2 linked regions of the Rhinolophus ferrumequinum genome follow. Each later gene encodes a partner of the first gene's protein in a complex. Links are inferred from orthologs where the notes say so. Each region holds a gene or a part of one and is shown on either strand. Other genes may lie near its edges.

What was found.
Region 2: the proteins of RNH1 (region 1) and RNASE1 are in contact, whole or in part, in a crystal structure (PDB 3TSR), measured with the Mus musculus proteins. The link is inferred for Rhinolophus ferrumequinum from reciprocal best matches to the Homo sapiens genes RNH1 and RNASE1. Residues at the interface, in NP_001165571.1 of Mus musculus: Cys7, Asp32, Thr60, Asn89, Asp117, Glu145, Tyr146, Asn174, Glu202, Trp257, Trp259, Glu283, Ser285, Trp314, Lys316, Glu340, Glu397, Ser401, Asn402, Gln426, Val428, Tyr430, Asp431, Ile432, Tyr433, Trp434, Thr435, Asn436, Glu437, Arg443; in NP_035401.2 of Mus musculus: Arg26, Glu27, Lys32, Gln36, Pro48, Thr49, Gln53, Lys56, Arg57, Met60, Asn62, Gly63, Ser64, Cys65, Lys66, Pro67, Val68, Asn92, Lys94, Asn96, Leu111, Lys112, Gly113, Asn114, Ser115, Lys116, Asp121, Ala134, Glu136, Val143.

The regions. Positions count from the first base shown.
Region 1 is NC_046294.1:269,267-280,825, reverse strand, and holds the start of RNH1 (ribonuclease inhibitor), read left to right. Parts: upstream 1-6,588; 5' UTR 6,589-6,603; coding exon 6,604-6,976; intron 6,977-8,422; exon of another isoform or gene 8,423-8,692; coding exon of another isoform or gene 8,693-8,843; intron 8,844-9,048; exon of another isoform or gene 9,049-9,184; intron 9,185-10,059; exon of another isoform or gene 10,060-10,087; coding exon of another isoform or gene 10,088-10,187; intron 10,188-10,292; coding exon 10,293-10,398; intron 10,399-11,559. UniProt on the Homo sapiens protein: Ribonuclease inhibitor which inhibits RNASE1, RNASE2 and angiogenin (ANG). May play a role in redox homeostasis. Required to inhibit the cytotoxic tRNA ribonuclease activity of ANG in the cytoplasm in absence of stress.
Region 2 is NC_046289.1:71,815,172-71,826,478, reverse strand, and holds RNASE1 (ribonuclease pancreatic), read left to right. Parts: upstream 1-5,806; 5' UTR 5,807-5,867; intron 5,868-6,074; 5' UTR 6,075-6,132; intron 6,133-9,063; 5' UTR 9,064-9,216; intron 9,217-9,872; 5' UTR 9,873-9,902; coding exon 9,903-10,373; 3' UTR 10,374-10,606; downstream 10,607-11,307. UniProt on the Homo sapiens protein: Endonuclease that catalyzes the cleavage of RNA on the 3' side of pyrimidine nucleotides. Acts on single-stranded and double-stranded RNA.

The sequences.
Region 1 (11,559 bases):
ACCTTATGCTGGCTGCTGAATTCCAGGGTAGGAAGCCCACAAAGTACACTCCAGACACTCATTTCTGGTCAGGTTCCGCCCATGGAAGGTGCTAGCAGGAGCTACGAGTGGAGGGAAGGAAGAAGCGCTGTGCTCTGCTTCTGGCAGTGCTCTCCGTTGGGGGACTGCCTGCAGGGGATGGCGTGCCCCTGGCCTGGGTGGGAGTCCTGCTCCCCAGCCTCTCCTTCAGAACGGCAGTGGCTGTGGGCTCCTGGGTGCTGGGCACCCCTCAGCTCTGGGTGGTGTCTCCTGCCTCTCTCTCCTCCTTGCAGCCTTTAATGACCAAGTCCCCCACTTGATTCCTCTCTGCTTGTCATATCTGAGGGCCTTCCGTCCTCAGGACTGGACACGGGCACACTGACCGTTCTCCTACTTCTGGATATTAGCGTTGTTTCCAATTGTCTTCTGTTACGAGCAATGAGGTAATGAACACCCTTCTATGGACTTCCTTAGGACAGACACCCAAAAGCAGAATTGCTAATAAAAACACACAGGTGTCCTACATTTTGATCGATATGCAAGGTGTCCTCCAGTGAGCTAGTATAAATTGGCATTCCCATTTTCACTGGATGGTAACACCAAATTCCCTAAACTCTCACCAACCATAAACAATAAGTCTTTAAAATTTTAACTGATGAGCCAAAGGCAATGTATTCTTGTTGCTTTACTGTACATTTTCTGACGACCAGTAGAATCGAGAGCCTTACAAAGTCTCTTGGCCAGTTACATTTCTCTTGTGCACTGTGACTTCATACTCATTGTCTATTTCATATGGTGTTGCCTGATTGAGTTACAATTAGCACATTCTGGACACCAGTGACTTGCTGTTATATACGTTGCAAATACTTTTATCTGACTTGCCATGGGTTTTTAATTTTTAATTTGGCTGTATTATAGTTTAAAATTTTTATTTAGTCAAATCTGTCCCTTTGTCCTCTACTGCTTCAGGTCTCATGCTTTGCTTAAGTAAACCTTCCCAACTCCAATGTATACCAAGCAGTAGTCTGTTTCCTTCTAATTCTTTTGTGTTGCTTCCTTACTTCTGTGTGTGGCATCAAGTATATTCCCCAAATGAACTTGCCCTTCAAGCTGTTCAACTGTCGTCCTCCTGACACCCCCACTCCCCACTGGGCTGCTTCCTTCTTTGTGACCGAAATCCCTGACACACTGAGGCCTAACAGAAGCTCCCGCTCTGTTCCACATCCTGTTCTGACACTGGCTCCATCACAGCAGCAGGGCTGTGAGCACGTGCTGTGGTCGCTCTCAGTTTTTAATGAGGTGCCGCCAAGTCTCCTTCGTTGCCTCTCTTTTTCAAACATTACTTGGCTCTGACAGTTTATTTTCCAGGTGAACTTCAGAATCAGTCTGTAAAGTTCCTTTTAAAACTCTAGATGGGATTTTCCTTTGGGTTGCACTAGATTAACAGGCTCATTTGAGAAGAATTGGTATTTTCACAGTGTTGATTAATCTCCTTTGGGAATAGGGTATATTTTATATTTATTTCTTGGGAAGTTAAACATACTCTTCTTCACATCGCCTACACATTTATTAGGTTGGGTTCTAGGCAGCGTAGGAGCGTCACTGCTATTGTGAATAAAATCTGTTTTCTCCTATATTTCTAATTGGTTACTGGGTGCCTAGGACGCTTTGATTTTCATACATCCAGCTTGTATCCAGGCTCCTTACTCAATTCTCTTACTAGTTCTAAGTCATTTCTCTTGGACGTTCTTCATAGGTACTCATTTTATTTGCAATATCATGGGCAAATCATGGTAGTCGGATCTTTTTTAAGAGGTGGATTTCATTTCTTTATTCTCATGCTTTGCATCGCTAGTCTTCAGCACAATGCTGGACAGTGCACCAGGCCCCCGGCACGTTCCAGGCTGCAGTAGGAACGTTCCCTGGGCCTTCCATTCGTTTCAGTTTCAACCTGCAACCAAAGCTCACCCCAGGAACTGCCACACTTGGGCAGATGCTTTCTAGTCTCTACTGATACTCAAAGTCCACATCACACACAACACGGCTGGTTACCATCCTCGTAACGCAAGTCTTACTGCTCAGTTTCCATGACCCCACAACAGTAGCAGCCTGAGGCTTATCTAGGCTAGGGGGACTCTAAGCAAAACAATACAAAATTAGGTACAAAATGAATATTTATTTAGAAAAGAATCACAATTTACATATCTAAAAGGCAGATTAATACCATAAACAACAAATATTATTTTCCTAGACTTTGTGATTTTTATCCTATAAATCCAGAAAAATAACATAACATTTGTATTGTCTGAAATACCTCTATGATGTGTTTCTGCTACATTATCTACTGTATACTCTTTGAGCATTTCTTCAGATTACATTTTCATAATTTATACAGAAAGGTTGACTGAATTAAAAAATGTTTTTTATCATTGATGTTCACAGCTTCTTATTGTTCACAACTTTCTTCTTCTTAAATGTTCACATCCCGTACATTTAAAATTCACTGTAAATTTGGGAAACGCTCGATCAAATTTACTCCACATACAAGGTTCCACTTGCTTAAGAAGTGTCAAATCTTAAAAGCTCTTCAAGCGTCTCTGAAGCAGCTCGCCACCCAGGCCCATGTGGGTTGTGTGACCAGCTCGCTCGTCACTGTCGTCAGTATGAAGTGTCAAATCCGGGAGCAACACACATCTCTTCCCAACACGCTCATCGCCTCCTCCTGTCTCCACTAATGAATTACCCAACAATTCCAGACCCTCTTCACCTCTTGTATTTAACATTTGTTTCTTCCTCTTAGTGAATGGTACGATCTGAAAAATTTTCTATTATAGTTTGTGCCTTGATGTCTCAATAATTTCTACTGGTATCAGTGGTCATTTCTACTACTTTTTCATATTTTATTATCTAATATTTCCCTGTTCTTTAAAAAACAAACTTAAAGGTGGCAAAAGACAGTTTGTCCAAAGTAGGAAGGTGTAGTTTCTTATTTATATTGAAATGTTGCAAAAAAATTTGTACAAATGCAATGAGGATGACACATGCTTAACTCGGGTTTTCCACATCTGTGCTCCCTGTGGAACATTTCCCACATCTGAGACACCCTGTACTCCTGGCCAGAGAGGAAGCATAATGGAGGAGTGGAAAGAGGCTTTAACTCGACAACATATGATGATGGAACCCTTTGCTAGGTCCCTCTTGGTGCCCTGGGGGGGCCTGTACAAGTGAGGGGTGCCAAACCCCACTGGCTTCAGGCTGAACTGGCACCACCCGTTGGCCTCTCTGGGCCACTGGCAGCTGTCCTCGACCCCTTAGTTGACAGTGAATGCTGGATCCCCTAGTTGTCCAGGGGTCAGCTCTGGGCCTTCCCCCCACAGCATTAAGTACCCACACCAGGTTGTGATGGCCGCCACTCAGTCATCTTGAAGCCCAGTCGGTAAACCCCCGGGTGTCTCACGGGCATCCCCAAATTACTATGCCTAAAACAGTTCCAACCCACCCCAAGGTGGTCCTCTCTCAGTCCTCCCCTCTCGTAAACAGCCCCACGAAACCCTCAGCTACTGAAGCTGACACTCTGAAGTGTCCCTTCCCCTCACCCTACAGCCAACCCATCACCACCTTCAGTCCACTGTGCCTTCAGAACACTGACTTCTCTTTCCCTCTCCCCACTGGACACCCTGATGGCCTCCTGCTCGCCCCTGCCCCTGCTCTCTCACAACTGAGCCCTACCTGTGCCTCAGCAGCCAAAGGCCGTCTGTACAACTCACAGGCCGGCCGGCCCCACTGCCACCCTTGCTGGACCCGCAGGGGTTCCAAGAAGATGGGTGGGCTCCGTGAGGCCCCCTAACTGACCTTCATGGCAGCCACTCTGCACCCTGTAACTGGAGTGGTCTGACTGTGCGCTCAACACCCAGGCAAGTGGCGGCTCAGAGCAGGTTTGATTTTAATTAGAAAAGGAAATCAATGTGATGTTTCTTACACATTGGTGTCATTACCAGCTCCAGTAAGGCCTGTGTACTGAACAGAAAATCAATTCCCCTTTCTGGCCTCCCCAAGAGCCTGGGGCCTGCTCTGTTCTGAGTTGCTAACTCCATGTCAGCCACTCTCACATGCAAAGACACTGTGGGTCATACCTGTTTCTCAGAAATACCTATTGCTGAGCTTCCCAAGGGTTTGGAGTAGAAACCCAACTACAGGCTGCACTTCGTACTCCTGAAAAGAGGGAGGGTCCCATTTCCTGAGATGGTGGAAGACAGGATGCAGGACACCCCTCTGCTGAGAACTAAAGAGCCGGGTACAGTATTAAGACAAAACCCCACATGCCTACTAGAACTGCTACCGAGGCAGTGAGGAATTGTGAGGCTAACACCCAGAAGAGGGGTCAGCCCCAGGCGAATCACCAGAAGCATCTGCTGAATCAGGAAACAGTAGCTGCAAGGCTGAGAAGCTGACCAGAACTTTCTACAGATTCCCAGGGCTGCAAGAGAAGAGTGGATTTAAAGGCCTGTGTGAAGAGGATGGGCCTCCTGGAGGTTCCCCAGGCTATGGGTTGGATCCTGGAAGAGCTACACCCCAGAGAAAGAGTAAGCAGGAAACAGACCAGCCCCAGTAAGAACTGAAGCTGGACTTTAAGTGATCCCAACCCCGTCAGGATTAAGACGCTGTGATGATTGCTAGTGGCCTAACCTAGCCGTCTGCTGTGGAAGAAGAGAACATCATCCAGGGCATCGTCCAATCATCAAATTCTCTGATTTCCTAAACATAAAACGTGCAACACGCATCCATAAAAAGTAATCAGGCATGCCAGGAAGTAAGATGTGATGAAAGAGAACAGGGATGCAGATAATGGAGTGATCAGACAAGGACTTTAAAATAACTACACTTAATGTGCTCAAGGAGCCAAAAGACGTGATTCCCAAATTTAGGGAGACCTGGAAATAAAAAACAAACAAATAAATGAAAATTCTAAAACAGAAAAACTAAATTTAAGGACTCAATGAATGGGTTTGACAGCAGATTAGATAAAGGAGAATTAGTGAACTAGAAGGCAGGTCAAAAAAATTAGAATGCAATAGAATCAAAAGGATATACAATCTAGTAAAGAGCAGAAGAGACATGTGGGATACAGTGAAAAAGGCCAAGCATATTTATAATTGGAGTTCTAGATGAAAAGCAGAAAGAGAATGGGAATCCAACACATCTAAAGAAAGAAGAGCTGCAAATTTCCCAAAACTGAAAAAAGATACCTACAGGTTCTAAAAGCACCATGAGCATCGAGAAGGATAAATGCAAGGAAAAATACATCCAGGCACAGTACAGCAGGACCGCTTATCTGCAGGGGATCCATTCCAAGGCCCTCCGTGGACTCCTGAAGTCACAGACAGTACTGAACCCTACAAACACTGTTTTTTCCTATACATATATACCCATGATAAAGTTTAATTTATAAATTAGATACAGAAAGAGATGAATACCAATAACTAATTGGTAATAAAATAGATCGATTATAATATACTGTAATAAAAGTTATATGAATGTGGTCTTGCTCTCTCTCAAAATAGCTTATACTGTACTCACCTTTTCACTTAAAGCAAGCATTTTATGGCCTTCCTTTGGCACATCTGAATTCCCAGCATTACTAGTTTTACGCTTTGGACCATTATTAGTAAAATAAGGGTTAAACACAAGCAATGCGATACTGTAACAGTCGATCTTATAACTGCGAAGGCTACTAAGTGGCTAATGGGCAGGGGGTGTTTACAGCACGGAGACACCAGACAAACGGAATGATTCACATCCTGGGAGGGGCAGAACGAGATTAGAACAGCGCACAACTTAAACCTCATGACTTGCTTATTTCTGGAATTTTCATTTAATATTTTTGGACCATGGTTCGTCACAGGTAACTGAAAGCACAGAAAGTGAAACCTTGGGTAAAGGGGGACTGCTGTATAGAACTGCTGACTGAAAATAAAGAGAAAATCTTTAAAGCAGCCAGGAAGACATGCCTTCTTCAAAGGAGCAACAATAAGACTGACAGAAAGTGTGGAAGTCAGAAAACAATGGAATAACATCCTCAGAGTGCTGACAGAAATAACTGCAAACCTGTAATTCTATACCCAGTAAAAATGTCCTTCAAAAACAGAGGACACACAAAGAAATTTTCAGAGAAACAAAAACGGGTAGAATCCATCACCAGTAAACTTACATACAGCAAATGCAGTACTGGATGGAAGGTATCCTCCAGGGTTTCTAGCTGTTCTGCTCAATGTTGAACCCTCAGCACCTACAACACGACCCAGCACAAAGGCGCTACTCAGTAAATACTGAATGAGTGCATTTAGGAAGACAACTGTCAACAGTCACTGACAATGTTACAGGAGTGAAACATGACTCAGACTACAAATGTTGCCGTAACGAATAACATTGACTCTTTCCTACAAAATCACGTCTGTCTACCTGTCTATCAAAGTACATTTCTCTCCAGCCCTACGACGCGCCGCAGAGGCCTGTTGTGCAAAATCTTGAGACCTAGACTAAGACTTGGCTCCAAGTCACGGAACCCACGTCCTGCCCGCCGCGTTAATGCCACGACCAGGCCCCGAGAGGCGAGCTCGAGCCCGGAGGCCGGGTCCTCACCACGTCCATATCCAAGGCCCGCTCACCTCACGCGCCCGTCGGTCCATCAGTCCCAGCGCAGCCGCGTGGGAAACGGGGAGGGCCACGCCTGGACCACGACTCCGCCCCACCACCACGTGGGTGCGCCGAAACCCGCCACTTCGCTACGCAGAGCCGGCGCCCGCCCCACGCGAGGTCCAGCCTCCGCCGACCAGACCACGCCCCCACCGCTCGTGGCGACCCGGCAGACCTCGCCCCGCTAGGCCCGCTCCATCCCCCCGTCCTAAGTGGCCGTCTGCCTCCTGGTTACAGGCGAGTGACAGTCCGCCGTCGCCTCGAGGTCAGTCACTCCCGCAGTCCGACAGCCCGTGCGCCCGTCCGACGGCCGGCCAGCCTGGGGCCAGCCCTTACCAGCGCCGGCTTTGGTGGGGTCGCCTGCGGACGCGCGCCAGCTGCTGCTGCGGCCCTGCTGCCACGGCTGGACGGGCGCTCGTGAGGCGGGGCGAAGGCGGGTAGGCGCGGGAATTGTGGGGACCGGGGACACCCGGACCGGCACAGGCGAGGTGGGGCCGCGCACGCTGAGGCCGCAGCGCCGCCCAGCGGACGTCGGCGCGCACGGAGGACGTCAGAGCGCCCGAGTGCGCCGCCGCGCGTGCGCACCCGCCACCAAGCCTACTCCCGAGGCACGCTGGGAGTCCGGCGCGGAGGCGTCGTCTGCGCTTGCGTGGTCCGCGATCGGTGGGTCTTCCGCAGCGCGCTCGTGAGGTCCACCCTGATCCCCTTGTCAGTTGGTGCCCAGCAAGCTACTGTCCCAGTTGAGTCACACTTTACTTTATTCCCGCAAAGAACCGACGACCCCAGCAACCAGTGGGGTCCTCATCCCACATCCGCAATGTGCTGCCCCCTGGCGGCCACGAAGATTAGGCCAGGTCTGCCGTGAGCACTGCGACGTTGGTGGGGGATATTCCAGGCCCGTCCCAGCCAGTGTGCTGTCGCTGTGAGGGACCTGCCTGACCCTGCCCCGCCACTCCGGCATTCCGGATTCCCTTTTATTATGCGTTATTTCCCTCCTTTGCACTTCCCACATTCTAAATACTATTAATTTACTTTTGAGTTCCCTTCGTCACTCTGGAGCTTGAGCTCCACGAGGGCTGGCTGAGACCTTTGCCTTGCTTTGCCCTTGGATGTAGCCCAAGAACGGTGCCTGGCACACAGTAGGTGTTCAGTAGCCGTTGGTTGAATTGATGAATTCCTGAGCGATGAGGACTCGTGGAACATCCCTGTTCTAACAAGTGTACAAGTCAGGAGGGGACGCTCTTGAATAAGTGACTGCAGCCGCTTGACAGACACGCGCGGCAGCTCTGGGCGCCCACGGAGGTGACCTGCCAAGGCAGTGTCCACCTCAAGAGTTGTTCAAGCATAATGCTATACGTCCTGATGTGCAAGTTTAAAAAATTAAGCAATGCACCCTCCGAGGTCGTTCCGTGTCAGTATAGTTTTGTTACCTAGCAGAGTATGGATGTGTCGTAAATTATTTAACCATTTCCTGCTTATAGACCTTTAGATTGTTTCCAGGTTTGGACGGTTACAAAAGGCTGCAAAAAGACGTTTTGAACGTGTCTCCTGCGTTCATGCATGAATAGGTCTCTTGATTGATACGGCGAAATGGGTGTGTGCGTGTTTTACATAAGACACATTGCGCTCCCAAAAGCCTGACGAATTAATTACAGTCTCACCCATGTCAGCACGTCCACAACAAACAATCGTCAATCTCTCCCACTTCCAGTCTGGTAGCAAAGAAGTGTCGGGTATTTTGTTTCTGCCCCGGAACCGGCCTGGTGCTGGGAGGAGGCGGAAGAAGGGAGACGCGCCGCGGTCTCGGTGGGGGTCGCCCCCTCCCGCGCGCCTGCGCCCCTCTTGGCGAGCTGGCCCGTGCCCTGCCTGTTCTGGCAGATAAAGCCGAAAGGCCCATTGGGGCCAGAAAGTGGAAAATCATATGTGGACGCGGAGCTTGACGCTGGGCTCCGCGGAATGCGGCGACACTTAATTAGAGGCGATGGCTCGGCGCGCGTCTCGGAAAGAGCCGCTGGGACAGGCCCTCCCCGGGGCCAGTGCCCGCCGCCCCGCCGGGACCCCGCCCCGACCGGCGGCCCCGCCCCCAGTCCAGGCCGCAGCAGCTGGTCGGGTTTGCGGCGGCGCGGCGCGAGGTGAGTTGCAGATTCTGGGGTTCCCGGGGTTCGAGGGTCCTGGGGTCCGAGCGGGCCAGGTTGCGGGGGACCTTCTGCGGCGCCCCCTGGCGGAGCGGGCGAACTCGGGCGACACTGCGGGCGTGTTCTGGGGCCCGAGAAGGGCGCGGCCGGGCGCCGGGGACCCTGTCCGAGCGCCGTCTGAGCGCGGCCCGTTTCTTCCTAGAGTGACCGCGCCGACCCCAGCCCGAGGCCACCCGGAAACACGCGGAGCCTCGGGCCGGCGCGGAGGGCGGCGGCGGCCCTGGGCGGCCTCGCGCGGACCCCCGTTCGCTCCCGGCTGTTCCCCGCGCCTCGCAGAGGTAACCTGCGGTCCAGGGCTACCCTGCTCGCGGCTCAGTGACCCGGAAGACATAGGGACATAGGCCGTGGGCGCTGCCCCGGTGAAGGCCTAATCCCATCTCGTGCCCTCAGGGCAGGTCCTGCTGAGCTGCTAGTTGTCACACTTGAAACCACTGATTAGGGGCGTTGTTCTGCTCCTGGACCCCAGACTTGGGACCCTAGGAAGCAGCCCAGCTGGGGGACTGACTCCCAGTGAGGCGGTGGGCCTGAAATGTGCTTGTCCAGGTTTAGATTAGGGGCCTTTAACCGGGGCATCTTTTGGGCGATGTTGCATGTTTTCATGGGGTTCTCAAAGGGATCATTGAGCCCCAGAAATTAAGAAATGTCTTCCTGGCCCAAAGGCCCAACCAGGGGGACACCCCAATGTCTGGTTAAGCCTGGGCCCAGGAGGGCTCAGAATCAGCAGGCCGGTCCATGACTGAAGATTCTGAGTCAGGGTTTGGGTGACCACACCCTGGGCTCCCAGCAGGGGCGGATACGCTTTTGCTCACATGCTCTGGCTACGGATTGGGTAGACTCAACTCCTCTGTGTGACAGTTGGGTGACATGGCCAGTCCCAGATGCCCTCACCTCAGTTTCAGCAGGCCCATCTGCTGGGATCAGCAAACATGAATTTTTCCTGCTGGCCGTCACTCAGGAGTGGAAGTGGAGCATTGGCCTGGGCCACTCTCCCCTCTGTGGGCTCCATTCAGCAAAGCCAGGCAGTGCCAAGCTGGCACACAAACATGTGAGGCACTGTTCTCAGGAACCCGGGGATTTCAGGGAGCCAGGTCCTCACATGGGGCTGAGTCATTCTGTTGGGCAGGGCCATTTTAAAGGGCAGCTCAAATCGCATCACTTCCAGGACTTTCTGCAGCACCTGAATGAAAGCCAACTCCCTGCATCTCAGCACCCAGGGCTCTTCTCCCAACCCCACCTTCAGGGCCTCAGGTTACTGTGTATTCAGGCTCCGGCTGGTCCCTGGTGAGCTTAGGGCCTTTCACCTGCTCCCAGCCCGCCTGCTGGACCTCTGGCTTCCCAGACCTGAGACCGGTTGGCTCACTCCTCCCCCTCCCGTCTTCCACCTAGAAAACCCCGCCTCTCTCATCATGAGTGTGGACATCCACTACGAGCAGCTGAGTGACGACCAGTGGAGGGAGCTCCTGCCTCGGATGCAGCAGCAGCAGGTGGTCAGGTAGAGACGCCCTTGCCCACGCCCTTGCGGGGTGGCCGGTGGGCTGGGGGCCCACGAGTGGGCGTGCTGGGCTCTGAAAGCTCTCAGCTCGTGGACACACAATGTAGACTCTGTGTCACATGGTGTGAAAGGTTATTCTTGTATTTTACCCAACCATTTAAAAACGTGAGCCTGTTCCCAGGTGGGCGGAGTGGCCGGCCAGGGTCTCTGGCTCGGCTCCTTCCTCAGGGACGCAATCACGTCAGTTGGCTGCGTGCAGGTGTGGCTTGTCCCTTCGCTGCCCGTTCTCACACAGCAGTTCCTCAGGCTTCACAACAGATACCTGCCTGCTTGTCTTAAACTTTTGGACGTAGATTGAGGTTCACAGAAGAGTTATGAAGATGCTTTGGGGGCTCTGTGCCCCTCGTCCCGTGTCCCCTGAAGTCAGTGCCCCATCACCTGGGCCACTGGTCAAACTGAGGAGCCCAGTACAGCCACCTTGACTCCGGTATCACCAGCATTCCCAGTCAGTGCAGGATCCCACGGACCATTTGTCGTCAGGTCTCCTTGGCCCCCTCCCATCTGGGACGGTCCCTGTGTCCCTCTTTGTCCTTGGTCATCTGCCTCGTGGGTCAGCTCCAGTCTGGAGAAAGTCCCTCTGATGTCTTCTTGTGGCTGAGTCACATATTTTTGGCAAGAATACATAGAAAAGATGCTGTGTCCTATCTGGAATACTGTGTTGTGGGATGTATGGTCACGATGGCACCGTATGGTCACTGCTGTCACGTGACCACCTGTTAGGTGGGGGTCTGCCGGTTCTCCAGGACTGTTTTGCCCTTTGGAACTGGTAAATACGTTGGGTGATGTGCCTTGACTCTGCTTGTGTCCTTTTCTGTTCAGTGTCCCTCCTGAGGTTGGCCTCCCTCGGGGGGTGTTGCCAGAATGGTCATGACTGGGCCTTCGTCTGACTGGGCCTTTGTCTGACTGGGGGTTTTAGTGTCTTTATTCCTTGCCATTTTTCATTTGTCCCCTGACCCCATGTTGACTCCATCTCCCACACAGCTGGGTGGACTCTGTTTGGCTGGGTCACGCTGCCCACGCTGCTCCTTGCAGGCCTGGCTGTGCTGACCGAGTCCCTCCCTGGAGACTGGCCAAGGCTTTGGCGCTGGTCAGGTGTGGAGA
Region 2 (11,307 bases), on another chromosome or scaffold:
AAAAATTAAGAATTACCGTACAACCCAGAAATCTCTTTTCTGGGTATCTACCCCAAAAATCTGAAAACATTTATTTGTAAAGATACATGTACCCCTATGTTAATTGCAGCATTATTCATGGTGGCCAAGACATGGAAACAACCAAAGTGTTCTTTGATAGATGATTGGAGAAAGATGTGGTACATATACACAATGGAATATTACTCGGCCATAAGAAAAGATGAAATACTGCCATTGGCCACAATATGGATGGATCTTGAGATTATCATGCTAAGCAAAATAAGTCAGACAGAAAAAGTCAAGAACTGTATGACTTCTCTGATATGTGGGATATAAACTGAAAGCAACAAAGGAACAGGCAAACAAAGAAACAAAAACTCATAGACATAGACAAGAGTTTAGTGGTTACCAGAGGTAAGAAGGGGGAGGTAAAAGAGGGAAAAGGGGGTCAAATTTATGGTGATGGAAGGAGAGCTGACTTTGGATGGTGAACACAATGTGCAATATATAGATGATGTATTGTAGAAATGTATACTTGAAACCTATATAATTTTACTAACCAATGTCACCCCAATGAATTTAATAATAATAAAAAAAGAAATAGTACCCATTAAGAGCTTTGAGTAAGAAAAATACATTTAAATACATTTATTTTTGTCTTGTTCTCACTGGCCATGAATCGTTTTCATTATGAAAGGTCTTTATGCACCACCGAAAACCTGTTTTCAGTCTTTTCTTCCATTAAGCATCACAGCCTCTACTGCTAGTGTCATGGAGTCTTGCATGGTTCTAAGGGGGAAATGCAGACACCTGCTCTGCTGTGGTAAGACACACTAAAGAAAGGAGCTCACTTTTCGCTCACTGAAGTACTCTGGGAGCTAGAACCTTTGTCAGATCTTTCTTCGAAGCGCAGCGTCCAGGTAGCTCTCTAGATCTGGGGAGTTTTCTCATCTTTGCTCATTTAGATTCAGAGAATTATAGAACAAATGAGTTGTAAGAGAATTTAGTGATAATCCATGCTAACATTCTCATTTTATTATTTTATTCCCTCTCTTATTTTATATATGAGGAAATTTAGAGGTAAATTAAGTTGGTTGAAGAGGTTTTCCAATTGTGGCTGAACATTTCGATTATCAGGAGAGATTTAAAAATAATGATTATCAGGTCTACCCAAGGCAAACTATATCAGAATCTCTGGTGGTGGGATGCAGGCATTACTATTTTTAACAAGCATCCAAAGGGATTTATTGAAATATCCCTCAAATTATAAGAGACAAAGCTGGGAAAAAACACTTTTTCACTGACTTCTATATTACCTGAGCTGTTTCTACTACACCATTTCTCTGTTTTTGATAATTCACCCCTCTATAGTGGCAACCACCCATTGTTGCCTCTTTATTGGAGAACTGAGCTTTTCATTTGTTTTTTTATATGATATTATGAATATTAAATATCATGACATCCTCCTCCTCCATGAAAAAGACATTCCATTTCTTCCACATCACCTTTTGATTGTGTCCTTATAGCAGATATCTTTTCTAAGGTATTCTCTCTCTTTCTAGTCAGTGCCCTTATGGCAGATATCTCTGGTCTCTTGAGACCCCCCAGCCCTCTACAATTAATTCATTTAAGATGTATTTATTTGCACAAGGTCACAAGACATAAATATGAATAAGACATGGTTTTTGCCCTTGTAAACACACAGTATAATGGAGGACACTGAGAAGAAAGAATTCCTGTGGAACTTGGGAAGTGTTATAATCGAGGTATGTATGAGATGCTGTGGAATCACAGATAATGGAACGGGCAAGGACATTACAGAACATGTAACATACTGTTTTTTTGCAGAGGAAAAATATGTTCTCTTGATCTACTATTAGAATTGAAATATTCATAACCTTTATAGAGGACAATTGATAATATCTAATGCCTTATCAAAAGCTCATGACCTCTGAACACATCTAGAGATTTATGCCAAGGAAGTAATAGGACAAGGTGTAGTGGATGCTGTGGTGTGTGTTGCAATCCCCCACTTCAGGACCAAGGCACTCATTCCCCAGCTGCTGGAGTGGTAGTGACAGCTCTCAGCCAAGTCCCTCTCAGGGAATCACCCACAGTGGCCTCAGGTAAAGCCTTCTCCCCCCGAGGCAGTCCACATCTCGTGAATGGACAATGAGGGGGTACAAAGGTCTGGCCCCTTTACCTTAATTTGGGACAACTCTGAAGGATCACTCTAGCTCTAGAGCTTCCTGTGGGATTGGCTGAGACCTTCATTGTGACTGCATCAGAATTCAACTGCCCAGTTGTGCCTCCTTTACTCCCTTATTAAGTTTGGTCCCAAGACCACTCTCCAATAAACTTCCTGAATGCAAATCTTTCTCAGTGTCTGTTTGCTGGGGAACCTGACTCATGACATAAGAGTATAAATGCAAATGTGGATTGGTTTTTATTTTAGAATGTGTACATGTAAAAAGTTGTAAATATTATGAATGTCCAACAATAGAGAATTTGTTTAATGTATTAATGATACATCCATAACATGAAATATTATAGAGCCGTTCAGAATAGTGTAGATATTTGTTGACTTGGAATAAATGTTTAGGATGCATTTTTTGAATAAGCTTTTTGGTTGAAATATAACATACATGCAGAAAGATGAACAAATTATGTAAGTATATAGCTCAATAAATTAATCCAAAGTGAACACATCTTTGTTCACCACTATTTAAAATTAGTTTATTTTTAAATAGTCATGACAATTGTTAGTAAAATTACATAGATTTCAGGTGTACAATCCTGTATCACATCATCTATAAATTACATTGTGTGTTCACCACCCAGAGTCAGCTCTCCTTCCATCAACATATGTTTGATTCCTTTAGCCTCATCTAAGATCCCCCCGTCCCCTTTACCCTCTGGTAACCACTAAACTATTGTCTGTGCATTTTAAGAGAAAAGCAGAATCTGAAGCAGTATATATAGTATCCCAAATTATATAAAAACATATACATAGCATTAAAAAAAGTGTGGAGAATTACACACTAAAATGCTAATGTTTTTCTAGATGATGAAGATACAAATAATATATTTCTATTTGTTTATCAGGAATTTTAATAATTTGTATCTTTTTAAATACTTACCATCCACTTGGTAACTTGGAGAAATATATGCTAGAACTTCCTAATGAATAATTACTGACTGTTGAGTTGTTCCCAAAATTCATTAAAATTCATTAGAGTACCCTCTAATTCTATATTATAAATGCTATTACTAGATGTATCTCTAATTTCTGGGTCTCTGATAAGATTATATTCCTGAAACTTTCTATTTACCCAATGAATTGATGATGGAACCACAGAAAGGTCACCATTGTTTTTTCTTACTATAGGAATTAACATATAATAAATTAGTATATTAAATTGCAATGCTTATTCTTTATGCCACCTCAGCGATACAATTAAAAATTTAAACTTCTTCAAATGTGAATACACAGAACACATTTAATTTTTTTCATAGAAAGATAGGAGTTTGTATATTTTATTTAATATGAAAATATACAAAGTCCATATTGGGATAAAAATCCATTTCTTGCTGGTCTTTTGACAGGAATTCAGGAGGGTGGAATGGGGGGAAGATGAGAATTTTTCTCTCCCTTTCTGTGTATCTGTGTGAATGAGTTTGTTTTTTAGTTAAACCAAAGGCACTTAATTGGCGAATACAGCCACAAAAGCAATTTTGTCTATGTGAAAAGGATAAAAGTCTTAAGGAAATAGATCTTATATTAAGATCCAATCTTTCTTCCTGGGAAGTATTGAGAGGAAGATCGTTAGAAGAAGAAACACTGCAAAAAACAAAATGTTTTAACTGGGCGGGATCTTACAAAGCATCTTTCTTCACTCTTTCATTTCTCAAAAAACAATACTAAGGCTCAGAGAGGTCCCATGATTTGGCCACAGTCACTGCATGATCTACTGATGGAGGCCTCATGGCCCAGCTTGGGGAGGGGGCTGGGTTGCCAGATCAGATTGCAGTGCGTGAAGGCATCAGGACTGTTTAATCCAAAACTCAAAGCAGGTCAGCCAGTGGGGTCAGGAAGTTGGACTTTGTGACTCAATAAAAGGCTCCGCTTAAGCAGATGTGAGACTTGTCCCCTAAACTGGGTAAGGCTGGACTCTCTTCACTCGATATGCCTGAATGGACTTCCCCATCCATGTGCTTTGTCCCTTGACAATGTCTCCCAGCTTTGGGAAAAGAAGAACTGTTGTGCTCATTGCAACAGTCCTAATGATTAACACAAGGTGGAAAGCAGGAGATGGAAGACGGAAGATCCAAAAAATTTCAAAGCAAATGACTTTTCTCAAGACCTTGCTTCCTTGATGTGAGGAACTGACATGTGAGGCCTCTTAAAGAGAGGGAGGGATGCTGCTAAACTCCTGGGGGCTTCTTCCTCCTAAACAGGTTCCTCTTCTTCCAGGACCCCCAGTGGAATCAACAAATGTGTCTCAGGGACTAGAGAGCTGGGAGCCTGGACCACTCATCCTTCCTTGCCTTCTGTCTCCTCTGAAAGCTGCTCCAATGGAAGTGCCTCTGATTGTGTCTCAGTATGAGTTCCCAGTTCCTCTAACTCCACAGGTGGGGGAAGCAGCAAAGCCATCCCTGCCTTTTCCCACCACACTTCACAGCAGGAAGAGCGGTGGGAGAACTCTGGGGGAAATGCACAGCTAGAAGAGATCAATTTCACAACAAGATATTGCAGACCTTCGGGAGCACATCCCGGGGGCTGTTCCCTACCTATGGCACACCAGGCAGCATAGTGTAGTTACCACACTATCCTGGAACTCGGGGACCACACTATCCTGGAACTCGGGGACCTGAGGCAGGTTTCTGTTTCTGCTGCCCAGGTGCTGTCTGACCTTGGGCCTGCTGTGGCCCTCAGGCTCCTTCAGGCTCCTTGTGTGTTTATAGTGGGAGGACGAGAGGAAGGTCCCTTACCTTGCTTTTGTCCTTCCATTCCTTGAGTTCAGGGTAATTGACTATCTTTTACACAATGAAGTCTTTTGCAAGGCATTCAAGATACTTCTTTCTCAGGCCTACACTTTTCTCTTCTGTGCCATCCCCCACCTCCTCCTAGTCACATGGAGGAACTTGCTATTTTCTTTTTTTTTTAAAGATTTTATTGGGGAAAGGGAACAGGACTTTTATTGGGGAACAGTGTGTACTGCCAGGACTTATTTCCAAGTCAAGTTGTTGTCCTTTCAATCTTAGTTGTGGAGGGTACCGTTCAGCTTCAAGTGGTCCTTTCAGTCTTAGTTGTGGAGGGAGGGCATAGCTCAGCTCCGGGTCCAGTTGCCATTGCTAGTTGCAGGGGGCGCAGCCCACTATCCCTCGAACCGACAACCTTGTGGTTGAGAGGACGTGCTCCAACCAACTGAGCCATCCAGGAGCTCAGCGGCAGCTCAGCTCAAGATGCCATGTTCAATCTTAGTTGCAGGGGGCGGAGCCCACCATCCCTTGTGGGACTCGAGGAATTGAACTGGCAACCTTGTGGTTGACAGCCCACTGGCCCATGTGGGAATCGAACCGGCAGTCTTCAGAGTTAGGAGGACGGAGCTCCAACCACCTGAGCTACTGGGCTGGCCCGGGCTATTTTCTAAACATAGTGTTCTGCCACCAGTGTTTACTTCTCTTTCTGGACTTTTTCTTCTGTCTGAATTGCCCTCCCCTTACCCCAGTGAAAAAACTATCCTTCAAAGTCCTTCCCAAGGTAATCTTTGCTCTGAAATCTTCCTGATCCCTCCCACTCCACCCCTTTTCTCCCACTGCTTTCTAATAACCCTGTCCTTGTTTGTACCGGAGCTCTTATCAAGGTCTGGTTTGTATTACAACTCTAGGGGCTGCTTCTGTTGGGGAGAATTCTCAGCACTTGGATCTAAAATAAAGTGCTTGATTTAATTGCTTAGCTCTTCTTAGGAGAGGACAAGGTCTGTGGCTCTGATGGAGACTGCAGATTCCAGGCTCCCAGATCGCTTAGGTGCCCTGCCTTCCTCTCTTACCAGCTGTTTTCTTTCACACAGGAGTCCTGGTCAATAATGAATGCTATCAGAAGAGCTGGCACAAATGGACTGCTCTTAGGTAAGGGGTGGGGGCACTGGTGCTTGTCCTAGAAGGGAAGGGTGGGGGACGATCTCCTAAAATGGAGGAAACCAAGAGACCACTGAACCACCCAGGAGGACAAGTAATTAGGTCTTCTCCTGTCAGGAACCGTAGACACCCAAGTCTCTGTCTTTCTTCAGACACCGTGGGCAATATCTGACCTCCACTTAAGAAGACCCAGGGCTTGGAGAAGAATGTGCTCTGTCCTTGGGACTGAAGAAAACAGTTCTAGTGTCAGGAGGCTGGGAGGGGGAGATGGGAGACCAGGGCCATTCTCTGTGTGTTCTGGAGAACAGGCTATTGACTACACCTGGTAAGCTCACACAGACGTCAGGGCTGCCCCCTGGGAAAGTACAATCTGTTCCTGGTTGGCCTCAAACAAGGGCTCAGATGTTGGAACCCCTTTCTTTCCCAGTTAGATGTATGGAGACAAATGGGCTTGGAAAGAGAAATGAGAAGTCTTACAAAATGGGGATCATCAACAGGAGTGATAACCTGCACAGTCTTGAAAGCTTTTTGCCCTTGTGTAGTTGTCATGTGAGATGAAATGTTGGGGTGTGGGCAGGAGGCATAAATTGGGAGAAGATTGTACAATGTTTCGCTGGGGAAGGGGTTTCTCAGTTGAGGCCTATAAATGCATAGCTTGTGACAGGCTTGAGGGGCCATGCTGTTTGTCCCCTAAGAGATGTTTTAGCTTCATAGGATCATAAAGTCTCCCAAGTTACTACAATACAAATTGAACTTGGTCTCCGTGGAGTTAGCTCCAGAGCGTCCAGAGCCTCACTCCTGAAGAGGAGTCAGGGAAACGGTGCTTAACTTGGGAGAGGAGCAGATAGCTGCTTGAGAGAAAATGGGAGGTGTGAGTGGACCCTTGCCACACAGCCTGTCTCTAAGGAGACTCTTTGGGGCTCAGAGCCCACAGATGCAGTGTAGTTCCCATCTTACTGGACTGCCTTTGGCTCTAGGAAGATTTCAGAGATTAATTTCCAGGCATTCTGTGGAGGGGACAAAAATGCACTTCCCTTCACTTTCCTCCACACCTGGGATCAGGCCAGTCACTGATGTGTCTTTGTGATGTGATGCGATGTGATCTTGAGACCCTGCCTTGAACACTCAAGTTTGCCCTCTCTCCACACTCTTGTGCTTCCTCACATGCACATGAACAAACTTTGTCTAGTCTCCTGATCTGTCTTTTGTCAGTTAATTCTCAGGCTCCCTGATATGAACCTAAATGGATAGGAAAAGTTTTCCTCCCAGCACCCCTTAAGATGATAAGAGTACAAGGACTAAGAGACAAACGAAACATACCGTGTTTCCCCCAAAATAAGACCTAGCCAGACAATCAGCTCTAATGTGTCTTTTGGAGCAAAAATTCACGTAAGACCCAGTATAATATAATAATATAATATAATATAATATAATATAATATAATATAATATAATATAATACTGGGTCTTATATTAATTTTTGCTCCAAAAGACACATTAGAACTGATTGTTGGGCTACGTCTTATTTTTTGGAGAAACAGGGTAGGTGGAGGGTAGGGTAGTGGGTGAATTATGGGAACATTAAACTAAAAACTCATGCCATGCTATGTCTTCCTGTGACCCACTTCCACTTCAAAATTCGTACACATCAGCAAATAACATTGACCTGACTAAAGATTTTTTGGATATCATGGGGTAAAACAGTTTTAAAATTTCCTTTTAAAGAATTCTGTTCTTTCTACCAAGGTCCCTCTCTTCTCTCCTCTTCCCCTTTCCTCCCCTCCCCAGGATTTTAAAACTGCCCACTGTTTTCAGCTCAGGTTTTTATCAAAACAAAGGTCTGGAAATTATTTGACTCCACCCCCCTGTAAAAAAAAGATCACCCAGTGTTATTTAAATAGATTCCTTTGGGGGGATCTGAACAGCACCCCATGTGAATAATCACAGAACTACTACCATTTATAGATTCTTTCTAAGCACTACTTTAAGCACTCTGCTCATCTTACCTTATTTCATCCTAATAGTAAATCTAAGAGGTACATATTATCCCCATTTTAGAGACCTGGAAACTGAGGACCAGGGTAATAAATCAAGTTCTGTAACTTGCCCATTTCTTAAGATGCTAAACCAGAATTTGGCCTCAGATAGTCTAAATACAGAGCATGGAGGGAATTTTGATAATTTTCACTCAAGAGGTATCAAAATTGTCACCTAGCAAAAACAGATCTCGCTCTAGGAGGAAATTCTGCTGCTAAGAAATGTGATGCTCTCTATTTTTTCTTCAATAGGGATTTGGGATTTTGGTTTATCTTTAGTTCCTCTACTAAATTCTGACCTACAGGATGAATGGTCACTGTAGATAAGAACTGTCACAAACTTACCTTCAACATCTCAGGAGTATTAAAGTGGCCCAAACAGGGTCAGGTCACATAGAGACTTCCTTCTTCTCGACCTGTTCAAGCACTTGCCCCTTCCTTCTCCAGCTCTGGGAAGCCTTCCAGCTAGAGACGGCTGGGTACCCCTCCCTGCTCCCCCCAGGAGAGGTGCTGTTGGGAGATGTGAAATTCTGGTCAAAGCCACTCCAGGACTCCGGGGGAGGGACAGGACCTCCTTTTCCCTCCACCTCCTGTGATCCATGTTATGTGCCCTTTGCTAACTTCCAAGGGCTATTTGGTGAAAATGAGATAATAAGGAGCTGGTTGGGGTTTGAGCATCAGTGCTGTAGTGGCTCTCTCTGCTGCTCCTTGTGAACCAGCAGACAGATGTGATTCACATGGTAAGACAGGTCCCTATCAACAAAGACTCACCCTCCCCAGCAACCCTGAGAAGAGGGTGGCCAAGGTAACTCCCCACTCCTTCCTCACAATGCCCTTGTTTTCCTCTGGACTGAAACCAAGATGCTCCTCCCACCCTTCCCTTCTAGGAAGCCAAGCCGCTTTGTAATCTCCATAAAGTCCACAGTCCAGGGATCCAGCGACTGCAGAAACTGGCCTTCCACTTGCTCTCTCCTGGAATCCGAGCTAGAGACCCAGGTAGTGGTCCAAGAAGTGGATTCAGGAGCTGCTTTTGCTTGAGGGTTGGAGCGAAGGGAGCTGGGGTGAGCGAGGATAGCACTGAGAAAGCTTGGATTAGGCAAACATCAGCTCGGGCAGAGCTGGAATAGGGGATGGAGTGCTAGGGCTTCGGAGAACCCATGGGGCTGGAGAAGGATGGGGGGAGGCGAACATCTCTCTTTGGACTACAAGGCGTCCCTTTATGATGCCAGTGTCAGGCACTGGGTTGAGTTTCCTTTGTGTTCTACGACAACAGGGCTCTGTCGGCCATGATCCTCTATGTCATGGTGGTGTCAGGGACACAATTTGGCTCATGGTTTATTCAAAAGATCTTCTATTGAGCCACTAGAGCACTGAGTACAAATATATTTTATTTTTTAAATGTATTTTAGATAAAAAAAAAAAAAAACCCTCCAGTATTCAAAGACAGGACTGCCAAAATTTAGGTTACTTCCAAGGTCACCACCCAGAGGGGAGGACCTCCTCTCTGTAGCTAGTGGGAATTAAATGCTCTTGGAGAAGAGTATATGCGAGTATTCATTACTTGGAAAATCTTGCAGGAATAGGGGCATTTTTCTGACTAACCTGAAGGGAGATTGTAAAGCAGGGAGGCCACAGGTAGAGCTGGGGTTCTCTTTCTAACGTGATGCTTTTCCTCCTTTCTCCCTTTCCTGGCTAGGTAGGTTCCTCTTGGGGGAGTGAGGCCACCATGGCTCAGGAGAAGCCCCTCTTCCTGTTCCCACTGCTAGTCCTCGTGCTGCTGGTGCTGGGGTGGGTCCAGCCTTCCCTGGGGAAGGAATCGCGGGCCATGAAGTTCCAACGACAGCACATGGACCCGGACAGCTACCCCAGCAACAACCCTAACTACTGCAACCAAATGATGAGGCGCCGGGAAATGACGAAGGGATCATGCAAGCCGGTAAACACCTTTATCCACGAGCCCATCGTAGATGTCCAGGCCGTTTGCCTCCAGGGAAATGTCACCTGTAAGAATGGTCAGCCCAACTGCCATCGGAGCAGCTCCAGCATGAACATCACGGATTGTCGCCTGACGTCCGGCTCCAAATATCCCAACTGTGTGTACCGGACCAGCCAGAAAGAGAGGCACATCATCGTGGCCTGCGAGGGGAATCCATATGTGCCGGTCCACTTTGATGCTTCAGTAGAAGTCTCCATCTAAGACCAGAACAGCAAGATGCCTCGCCTCATTATTGCGTTACCTGCCTCTCCCTTCTTCCTTCCTTGCCCTAAGAGAAATAATTCAAGTTAGGGCTCCTATCCAACACAACTTGCTTCCTTGGCCTGAGGCTTGCCCCTGTGTGGTTTGGTAGGTGAGGAGTGAGTTGTGAGGTGGGCCCCATGTTAAACCACTTCACCTCTTCTTTCAATAAAACTCAGTTGCAACCACCTGAATTCCTGAAGGTGTCCTTATCCAGGTTACTGTTCATATGATTGCTTTCCTGCCAGGGGTGAGAACTGTAAATCTGGTTAACTTTGGTGAGCTGCAAATGGAATCATTAAATGCCTCCTCTTCTGACCTCAGATCATTCCTTTCCTTGTAGATTCTTTGATGCCAAGTATGAATTTTTAAGTGTTGTGGAGGAGAGACTGTTCCATGATGGGACCTGCAAGCTGGTCCCAGGTCAGAACAGAGATTGCTTCCCACAAGCCCTGCTTAGAAACTGTCTGACCATAATCGAAATTCATTCTGATCCTAATCAATGTTCATTCTGAAATAAATCAGGACCCCCTCACTTGCCTCCTGTGACTTGCTAATTCCTGGAGCGGGCTGTTGTCCTGACCTGGTCAGGCGTGTAAAATAATTTCTGTACCTGGTAGCATTCACGTACTAGTAGTACCTGTGACTACCCCCTCCTTTTACCCTGTATAATTCTTTGGCACCTGTCAAGTGCCGCAGTGATCCATTCTGTCTTGCAGCCACCCAAGGCATGATTTTATGTAAGTGTTCCTTAATGAACTTTATTATTTAAAAACTGGAATGCCCAACCTCTTTCTTTGATCTTTCCCTGCCCTCACCGTAGGGAGGTACATTTTCTGTCCCAGGACCTTTCCATGGGTCTGTGTGTACTAACAAGTACGGGCTGTTTTAGATA